Linked DNA regions of Coturnix japonica. The protein of the gene in region 1 interacts with the protein of each later gene in a pairwise test. Links are inferred from orthologs where the notes say so. Each region holds a gene or a part of one and is shown on either strand. Other genes may lie near its edges.

What was found.
Region 2: the proteins of SMURF2 (region 1) and SPART interact in a two-hybrid assay, tested with the Homo sapiens proteins (2 studies listed by BioGRID and IntAct). The link is inferred for Coturnix japonica from reciprocal best matches to the Homo sapiens genes SMURF2 and SPART.

Annotation. Positions count from the first base shown.
Region 1 is NC_029533.1:7,186,202-7,190,613, forward strand, and holds the start of SMURF2 (E3 ubiquitin-protein ligase SMURF2), read left to right. Parts: upstream 1-1,569; 5' UTR 1,570-1,898; coding exon 1,899-1,950; intron 1,951-4,412. UniProt on the Homo sapiens protein: E3 ubiquitin-protein ligase which accepts ubiquitin from an E2 ubiquitin-conjugating enzyme in the form of a thioester and then directly transfers the ubiquitin to targeted substrates.
Region 2 is NC_029516.1:154,377,874-154,382,471, reverse strand, and holds the start of SPART (spartin), read right to left. Parts: upstream 2,868-4,598; 5' UTR 2,743-2,867; intron 1-2,742. UniProt on the Homo sapiens protein: Lipophagy receptor that plays an important role in lipid droplet (LD) turnover in motor neurons.

The DNA.
Region 1 (4,412 bases):
CTTGTGTGTGCATGGCAGTAATAAATATTGTGCATTTTATACAGCGACACAAAAGTGTGAGCTCCCAACTGATGCTCCAGCACTTCACAGTATTTTCATTGGAAGCTGAGCAGTCTGAAAGAAGGTTCTCTACTAACATTTGCTATCTCTGTATTTAACAGGCAGCTTTGAAGGAAACAGACACAACCCTGCCTGAGGAAGGACTGCTTTGTTCCCAGGTGAAGGGACATTGGAACAGCAGTGCCACTGCACAGAAAATTTGCACCTGGAAGGATCTGGTGCTTGAGACACGCTATGGGACAATGGAGACGTGAGTCTGTGCATACAGGGGGGGACCCTTTCATAGAACCATAGAATGGCCTGGGTTGAAAAGGACCACAATGCTCATCCAGTTTCAACCCCCTTGCTGTGTGCAGGGTCACCAACCACCAGAACAGGCTGCCCAGAGCCACATCCAGCCTGGCTTCATTTTAAAGGGGAAAACTTTGAGAGCCATATCCTACTTGTGAGGCCTTCAATGGGACAAAATCAATTCCTGCTCCTAGATGTGATTTAATGAGGTCCAAGCCCCAAACTCAGCCAAGATGAGCCAACTCTGGACATGCTAGTTCAGTTCTGTGCTGTATGCAGCTTCAGAAAGTGAACACTGGGCTATGCAGAAGCTACATTACAAACTCTGCAAAGCATTGGTCATCTTTTCATCCCGTGTTTGGATCTTGGTACTCAGGTTGGATCTTAATCTATGACCGCCCTTATAGTAATACTTAACAGGTTGGCTCAGCAGGAAGAAGTCAGTGCAATGACACGACTGAGTGAGATGCATGTGAACATACAGAGCATTAGTAAGGTTATTAGTACGAATAGGTGTGTGGTTTATTAGCTCAGTCTTATAAGGTAAACTTTACTGTGGCAACTTTACAGCTTTTCCGGGAGCTTTTCCCGGCCTTCAGAGCCCGCTTGGCATTGATGTGAGCCCTGCGCTCCCCTCCCTCATGGGAGATGTGCAGGAGCTGGACAGACTGTGGAAGGAGTCACCTTTCCTGCAGGATGGAGCTAAATTAGGCCTCACAATGGGAATGTGAGGCCTTTTTTTTTTATTTTTATTTTTTTTTTGGCAATTAGCACAACCGCGCTGCTCATTTTAAGCAGCACAGACAAGCAGCACATCAGCTCAGAGTTCATTGCTCCCATGGCAAGTCTGCTGTGCCCCATCCACCCAAAATATTGCCCCAGATTGCAAGCACTCCCGCATGGCAGACCTATTCAGTTTAGCCCGGCTTTAAATGTATTCCTATGCTGTTTCTTCTCACGTGTACCTTTGTCCCCCCACCCGTTTCTCTGGCTTCCCTCCTTCCACACCTCGGTAATTCCTCCCGACTCCCCCCAGTCTCGCCGCCACCTGATGCAGCCCCCATGGGGCATCCCGCTCACATCGGCCCCAGCCCCGGGACGGAGCGGGACTCGGGGTGGGCACTCGGCCTCGGCCTCCAACGGAGCACAGAGCAGAGCAGAGCCGAGCACAGAGCAGAGCCGAGCACAGAGCAGAGCAGAGCCGAGCCCGGCCTGCCCAGGGGAGGGGAGGCGGCCGTTCGCTGCTCCGTCCCGGCTTTGTTGTGCTCGCCGCCCGGGCTGCGGGTTAGGGGGCGGGGAAGCGAAGGGAAGGGAAGGGAAAGGAAGGCGGCCGCGTCTCCTCCTCCGCCTCCTCCTCGGCCCCGGCCCCACTCATGGCGACGCTGGGCACATCCGGGCTTCTCCTCCTCCTCCGGCGGCCGCCGCTGCCCTGAGCGCCCGAGCCGACTCCATTAGCGCGTCCCCTCCCCCCCCGTCTCCCTTCCCGGACCCAGAGGCAGGGGGAGCCCCGGGCAAAGCAGCGCCGGGCCCGAGCCGCGGCCGGGGACATGTCCAACCAAGGGGCTCGGAGGAACGGGCCCGTCAAGCTGCGGCTGACAGGTGAGGCTGAGCGCGGCGGCGGGGAACTGCGGCCGGGCCTGCATAACGCTGTATAACAACGCTGCATAACGCTGAATAACGCTGAATAACGCTGAATAACGCTGAATAACGCTCGGGCACGGGGCGAGCAGCAGCGGGGCTGTGCGGGACGGGGCGCGGCGGGGAGGGGAGGGGAAACCCGCGGCCACGGGGGAGCGAGTTCCTGGAGCGGCGGGGAGCCCCGGCGAGCCCAGCTGGAGGGTGGGAGGGAGCGAGCGAGCGGGAGCTCCTCCATGTGTATTTGAGGTTGAACCTGGGCTTGGAGGCGGCTCTCAGGCCTCGTGAGGAGAAGGGGCAAAATACAGACAGCGAACTCTTCCCTCTCCTCCCGTCCGCTCCCTCAGTGAGGGCAGCTCCCCGTGGGCCGCCCGCCTCGGGAACAAAACGCCAGCGGGAGCCGTGTGGTACCGGGCACCTCAGCCCCGTCCCGCCGCCCCCACCGCTGGGTTTCGCTTTTTTTCCTTCGCCTTCTCAGCGTGAACTTGAAAGAAAGTGACACACGCTTTGTTTTCATCTCTTTGTTTGTTTCTTTATATATATATATATTTTCCCCGAGCCGACTTCCTTAGTGAAGGTTGTACACAGTCGGTTTGACACGGTGCCTTGTGTGGGCAGCTTTCTCTCAGAAGACCACTTGACCTCGAATGCTTTAAAATAGCATTAAAAAGCTGCTCACCTGCGTGCAGGGAAGGAAAATACGCTATTTCCAAGCACTTGAAGTGTTATGATCCTTTACATGAGAGAACCAGGTACATTGATCGAGAGAAGGAACACTGGAGCTCTCTTTAAAAAAAAATAAATAATACAGCGAAGTTAATAGGACAGAGCTGCTCCAAAGTGATGTAAGGCCCTCCCCCAGCTGATAAATCCTATCTTGGGTTCCAAAGTGTGAGTGCTTGAAGGTAAGCCGTTAGAAAGCAGGAGATACATTGCTTCAAATACTCTTATTTGCAGATAGTGGGTTTAACCAGCTTGCAAAACAAATATGTTTTAACAAAAACCTGAAGGAATTGGAACATTAACTATAGGCACATCTGAAATATTTCCAGTTTGATGTCATATAAATACAGATGTTTTCATATTTATTTTTTGCAAGCGTGCTGTTTTTATAGAGGAGATGCAATGTATGTTTTGCTGTGGAAGTACCTTGGACTAAATTTATAATGTAATTTTCATTGAGATGTGTGAATGCCTATATAATACAGTGAGAAATGAAATCTGTGAGCTAAATGTGGCTGGGACCGATGCATGGAGCAGTGCTGCCTGTTTGTACAGTGCTTGGGAGCTTTTTCTTCAGGTTACTGCTTTATTGATGCAAAACTTTAATGCTTTTTTTCCCTTTGCTGTGAGTGCTCAGACTTGCTTATCTTCGAAACATTGCGAATAGTCTGGAGCCTTTAGTAAAAGCCTGGAAAATACTGTTCAGGCGGCTGTCTGCTTCACCTTTGGGTTTTGTATTCTGTTGTGTTTTATTTTGATTAAGGATTAAGTACGTCTTCTAATCCTGTCTTTGACAACATAAATATGTCAAGGGGAGTGTAGCTGTGAGCAATAGGCAGTGGTTGTATGTACCGAGTGGTTCCCAAAAGAAGCAGGTACGTTCTTGAGGAACGATTCTGAGTTTTTCATTACCTGTTTTTTAGGAGGGGTGGCTGCAGAGCAATGGATTCAAAGCAAAGTCGCCTTTAGAGAGAGACTGCTCCACTTTTAGCATCTCTGTGCAGGCGCTGAGAACCGGTTCTGTTATTTGGAAGCTTACATGAAATATTGACCTATTTCTCAAGTTAGAAAGACTTGAGGTATTTTGTGCTTTAGCAAACTGCCTGTTGTTTTTTATGCGGTCGTTGGTTGTAGGGAAGCTTTATATGCTTAAGAAAAGTTGTTACAAACATTGGATTTTATTAATTGAGCTGACACGGTGTCAGTCCTTGCATAGGAATAGATCTAAGTGTACTTTGTGGCTTTGATGACCCTTTTTGATTGGAAAAGCAGTTTGAGAGCTCTCAAATTCTAGAACTGTTTGGAATTAAAGGAATCTGTATATTCCAGTGTTTTAAAAAGTTTATTTTCATGCTTGCAAATGCTATATAACCTTAATTTTCTTTGGCTTTATGATGCCAGCAGTCTTCTGTTCTGGCTTGAATATTTATAGGATTAATTCTGTAAACATTGTGTAACACTTATCTTTCCTATTTGTTATCTCTAAATTAGATACTATAGATTGAAAAAAATAAAAAATAAATGGATTCAAGAACTGGATTCAATTAGCAGTTTTTCAGGACATAAACATTAAAGGTTTAGATGGAAAACATTGTTTTGACTGACTGGATAAATGACAGGGTAATGTTTGATGTGAGTCCAAGAGCTGATCTGTAGTAGTGCCCAACTTCTCAGTCGATCCCGAGGAGCCAAATAAAATATTG
Region 2 (4,598 bases), on another chromosome or scaffold:
ATTTGCTAGCAAAAAAAAACAACCTAGGGACTCCTAAACCACTTCATCTTGCATCAACACTCGCATTTACTGAAAATCATTTTTCTTTTACAGAGGATATAAAGACAGCTCAACAGTGAAGAACACTGATCTAAAAATTATTTGAAGCTTCCAGAACAGAAAAGACTTAACAGAGCAATAAAGAAGGTCAGAGTTTAACCCAACATCACAGTTAATTTCTTTATGAGCAACACTCTGCATTTTGACGTTTTTAGAGCCTGTGAATTTAATCAAGTCCCTGCTTAGGGCAGTAACTACTTGCCTGTGTGAACAAACACTGCAGCATCATCACCTGCTTTGCCCCGTGTGTTTTGATTTGGTTTTGTTAGGGCAGCTAAGGCAAAGATACTATCCAGATTTTAAGTAATTACTTTTCCTAACAATTAATACCTTGTCTTCTTTTACAGTGACAAGTGAAATGCAAAAGTAACAGCTGTATTTCTGCTTAAGAGTGAGCAATAGTAAAGTACCACTCTATATGCTCGCTGCACTGTCAACAGAACTGTTCTCACTAAAGCAAAATCTTTGTTAACTCGAAATAAAAGACGTGTCAGGAAACTGAGATGTCAGCAGGTCCAGTGCATACAAGGCAGCACTGCATGGCCATGTGTGACGGAGATACAAAAACAGGCTTAGCAGCTCAGAAGAGTGGGAGCATTGTTAACTCATCTCTGATTGTCTGAAACATCCCAAATTTGTGCTGCGTGTACAGCAGTCAGAGCCAAACTATTCATTTGTGGGACAATGCACTTAGGAACAGAGGAAGGGATTCACAGTTGATTTTAATACAGGAAAACTAAAAGTCAGTTTATAACCAAGTGTATAAATTTAATAAATAAAAATGAATTAAAATCAATACAAAATAATGGTGGGTATACTGAAGTAAATAAACCAGCTGGGTTGCTCCCTCAGAATACAAGAGGAAACATTTCCTGAAGTCAAAGTAGTTTCTTGATCATATGCAAGGAATATCAGTCGTCATTATCTTTTTCAGTGTATGATTTTAATACAGTATTTAAATGCCCAGTATGTTGTAATCTATTTCTGTACATTGTTATTTCCTATGTTTTAAAGCTAGGATAAATGGCCAAGTGCATACTGTTAAATACAAGAGCTCCAAAATTGAGCCTTTGGATCTGGATGGCCAGATATTTTCTTAGTGCTCAGTAAGACTCACAGGAACTTGTCTTTGAGAAAGCTGATTCAAAAGAGAGCTAAGAAAAGAGCTGATGAACACGGTAGATAATCACAGATCAAACCAGCACTTGACTCATTCCTCAGCCCCCTTCCAACATCATTACAGATATACTGTCTGGTGCCAAGTGACTTGGCCAAGGGATGCTAGAGGGCAGTGGGGCAATGTGGGCCAGCTTACAATATCAGATTCCATTTGATATTGTAAGCTGGCACCTCAGCTTTCTGGCTGACCACCCTTCTTCTAATGCAGCAAACTCCATTAAAATAATAAAAAAGTTTAAAAATGCAGTTTGGTTGTGGTTCTAACTGTGAAAACGTAAACAAGACGCCTAATGCTTATTAAGGGGATTAAATATCCTGACCGACAGAGGTAGAATATGCCATCCAGCTCCCTGTATTTGTAGGTGCGGCTATGGGAGAACAAAACCAACCCCTTAATCCAGAGATCTTCCGATATGTCACCTGTTTATCTGTCAGCTGCTGATTTCAAAGATGAAGACAGTGAAGGAGAACTACAACACAGACAGAACTATTTAAGCCTTAATCTTAATAAAAAGCAATTAAGGCATCAGTAACTTTTGAGAACATACTGATCCAGCGCAACTGTTACAAAGGATTCAGTTGAACATAGCAGATACTAGCTGATCAACTTCATCTCTTTTATTTTCCCCCCCTTGTAGCTTATTTAAATTAGCCTCTTCAGAGTAGCGCTTAAATTTTTCATTAAGTGGTGGCCTACAGCTGATATTTAAGCACTGAGGGCTGGGTAATACGAAAGCCAGCGATCTGACCCGACACGGTCATTCCTACCCTCCTCTCAGCTCTGCTGTCTCAAGCCTATTTTCTCCTCATAAACCAACTTTCTTCCTGACGCCGTGCATAGTGTGAGCTCCCATCACAGGGTGTCAGGGCAGAGCTGTCAGCTCTCAAGTGCCAACCCAGCACATCTCCGGAACGGAAAGTGAGCACACGGCGGGGCAGCTGGCGGCCCGGACTGCGTACAAAGGCACCATCACTATCTCGTGTTCTCCGGGAAAGGGAAACGATTCCAATAAGGTCCGCAGTTACGCAAGACTGTTATTTAACGCTTTTAATTACGAGCAGGCCTACCAGCCCCCCGCCATCACCAACAGGTTTCTCACCAGCAGATAAAAACAACACAAGGCCACCCCGATCCGAACCTCTCAAAGCAGGCGGCACACACGGAGCAGGGAATTCTACCTCAACTTCCGTACCGAGCCGCTTACAGGATACCTGCTTCTCAGCGACACTTTAACCCGGAATGATCCGGCCCCGTCGCTCCCTTTAAGCAGCACCAGCCGGTACCCGACCCGGCTCAGCCCGCAGCACCACCACAACCAGCCCCGGGCTCAACCCGGGGGGCAGCCCCGCCTCCCCACGGCCGCCCTCCCACCGCTCGCAGCCGAACGAGCCGCCTCACCTCAGCCCACCGGGCCGGCTACAGCCGAGCCTCTCCGAAAGGACCCGGCCCCCAGTCGCGCTTACCGAGGCAGTTAACAGCCGGACAACCCCACCGCGGCCTGTAGTCGGGCGGCGGCAGCCGCTCCGCCCTCGGCTCGGGGCGGGGCCTTGCCCGGGCTGTGCCCCAAGTCCATGCCCCGCCGCAGGACGGCCCCGCCTGGGCTGTCCATGGGACCTGCGTGGGGGCGAGGCTGTGTGCCTGAAAGAGGCTGTTCTCTGTGAAAGGGACGTAGTGTGCTTGCTGCATCTCCACGACACCAAAAATATCACGGCTGATGTTTGAATCAATGGGAGGTGTGCTCCTTGAGAGCAGCTCGGCAGAAAAAGACCTAGGGGTCCTGATAGATGAGAAACTTAACATGAGCCAGCAGTGTGCTCTGGCAGCCCGGAAAGCAAATGGGATCCTGGGCCTCATCAGGAGAGGGTGGTCAGCAGGGATAGGGAGGTGATCGTCCCTCTCTGCTTTTTTTGAGCCCCCATCTGGAGTACTGTAGTCCAGGTGTGGAGCCTCAGTACAAAAGACATGGAGATTTTGGAAAGGGTCCAGAGGAGGGCCACGAAGATGATTCAGGGGGCTGGAGCACCTCCCGATGAGGACAGGCTGAGAGAGTTGGGCTTGTTCAGCCTAGAGAAGAAGAAAGGTTGCGGGGTGACCTCATTGCAGCTCTTCAATACCTGAAGGGAACTTACTCCCAGGAGGGAGTAAACTCTTCGAAAGGTCTGACAATAGTAGGACTAGGGGAAACGGTTTTAAGTTAAAGAGGGAAGATTTAGATTGGATGTTATGGGGAAGTTCTTCAGTAGAGAGTGGTTCGCCCTGGAACAGGCTGCACAGGGAGGTGTGGATGCCCCGTCCTTGGAGGTGTTCAAGACCAGGTTGGACGGGCCCTGGGCAACCTGATCTAGTAAATGTGTATGTTTGGTGGCCCTGCCAGGCAGGGGGGTTGGAACTACATGATCCTTGAGGTCCCTTCCAACCGGGTCATTCTGTGATTCTGTGATTCTGTGAATATAATCCGGCAGCTCGTTGTTTATGTGTCACTGACCATCATGTTAAAAGTTTTGTGCAGCTGGACTTTTCCACACTGAAGATTTCAGGCCTAGTTGAACCTAGTACAGGTGCTCTCCTGGTGGGCAGCAATGAGCCAGCAGTGTGCCCTTATGGCCAAGAAGGCCAAGGAGAACCTAAGGTGCATCATACGTGGCGTGGCTTACAGATCGAGGGAGGTGATCCTCCGCTCTGCCCTGCCCTTGTAAGGCCACATCTGGAGTGCTGTGTGCAGTTCTGGGCTCCTCAGTTCAGAAAAGATAGGGGTCTTCTGGAGACAGTCCAGCAGAGGGCCCAAAGGTGATGAGGGGCCTGTAGCATCTCCTGTATGTGGAAGGCTGAGTAGTCTGAATCTGTTGAGCCTGGAAAAGAGAAAAGCAGAGCGGGAATTTCATCCCTGTTTATAAATATCTGAAGTGCAGGAGTGAAGTGCATGGGCTGTTTTCAGTGGCATACAGCAACAGGACAAAGGACAGTGGGCAGAAATTGGAGCACAAGAAGTTTTATCTGAACATGATGAAGAACTTCTTTACTATTAGTGTGACAGAGCACTGGAACAGGCTGACCAGAGAGGCTGTGGAGTCTCCTTCTCTGGAGATATTCAAGACCCATCTGGATGCTTTCCTGCTCAACCTAGTGTTGTAGGGAACCTGCTTTAGCAGGGGGTTGAACTCAAGAGCTCCCTTTCAACCCCTACAATTCTGTGATTTCATGTGTGCACTTGTGCACGATTCTCCCTGTGCTGGTGCTTCCAGAGGTGCTTTGGGACTGTAAGCTGCTGTGCCTGCTTTTAACTGACTCTGCTGAGTGTTAATCAACCTTTGGCACCCTC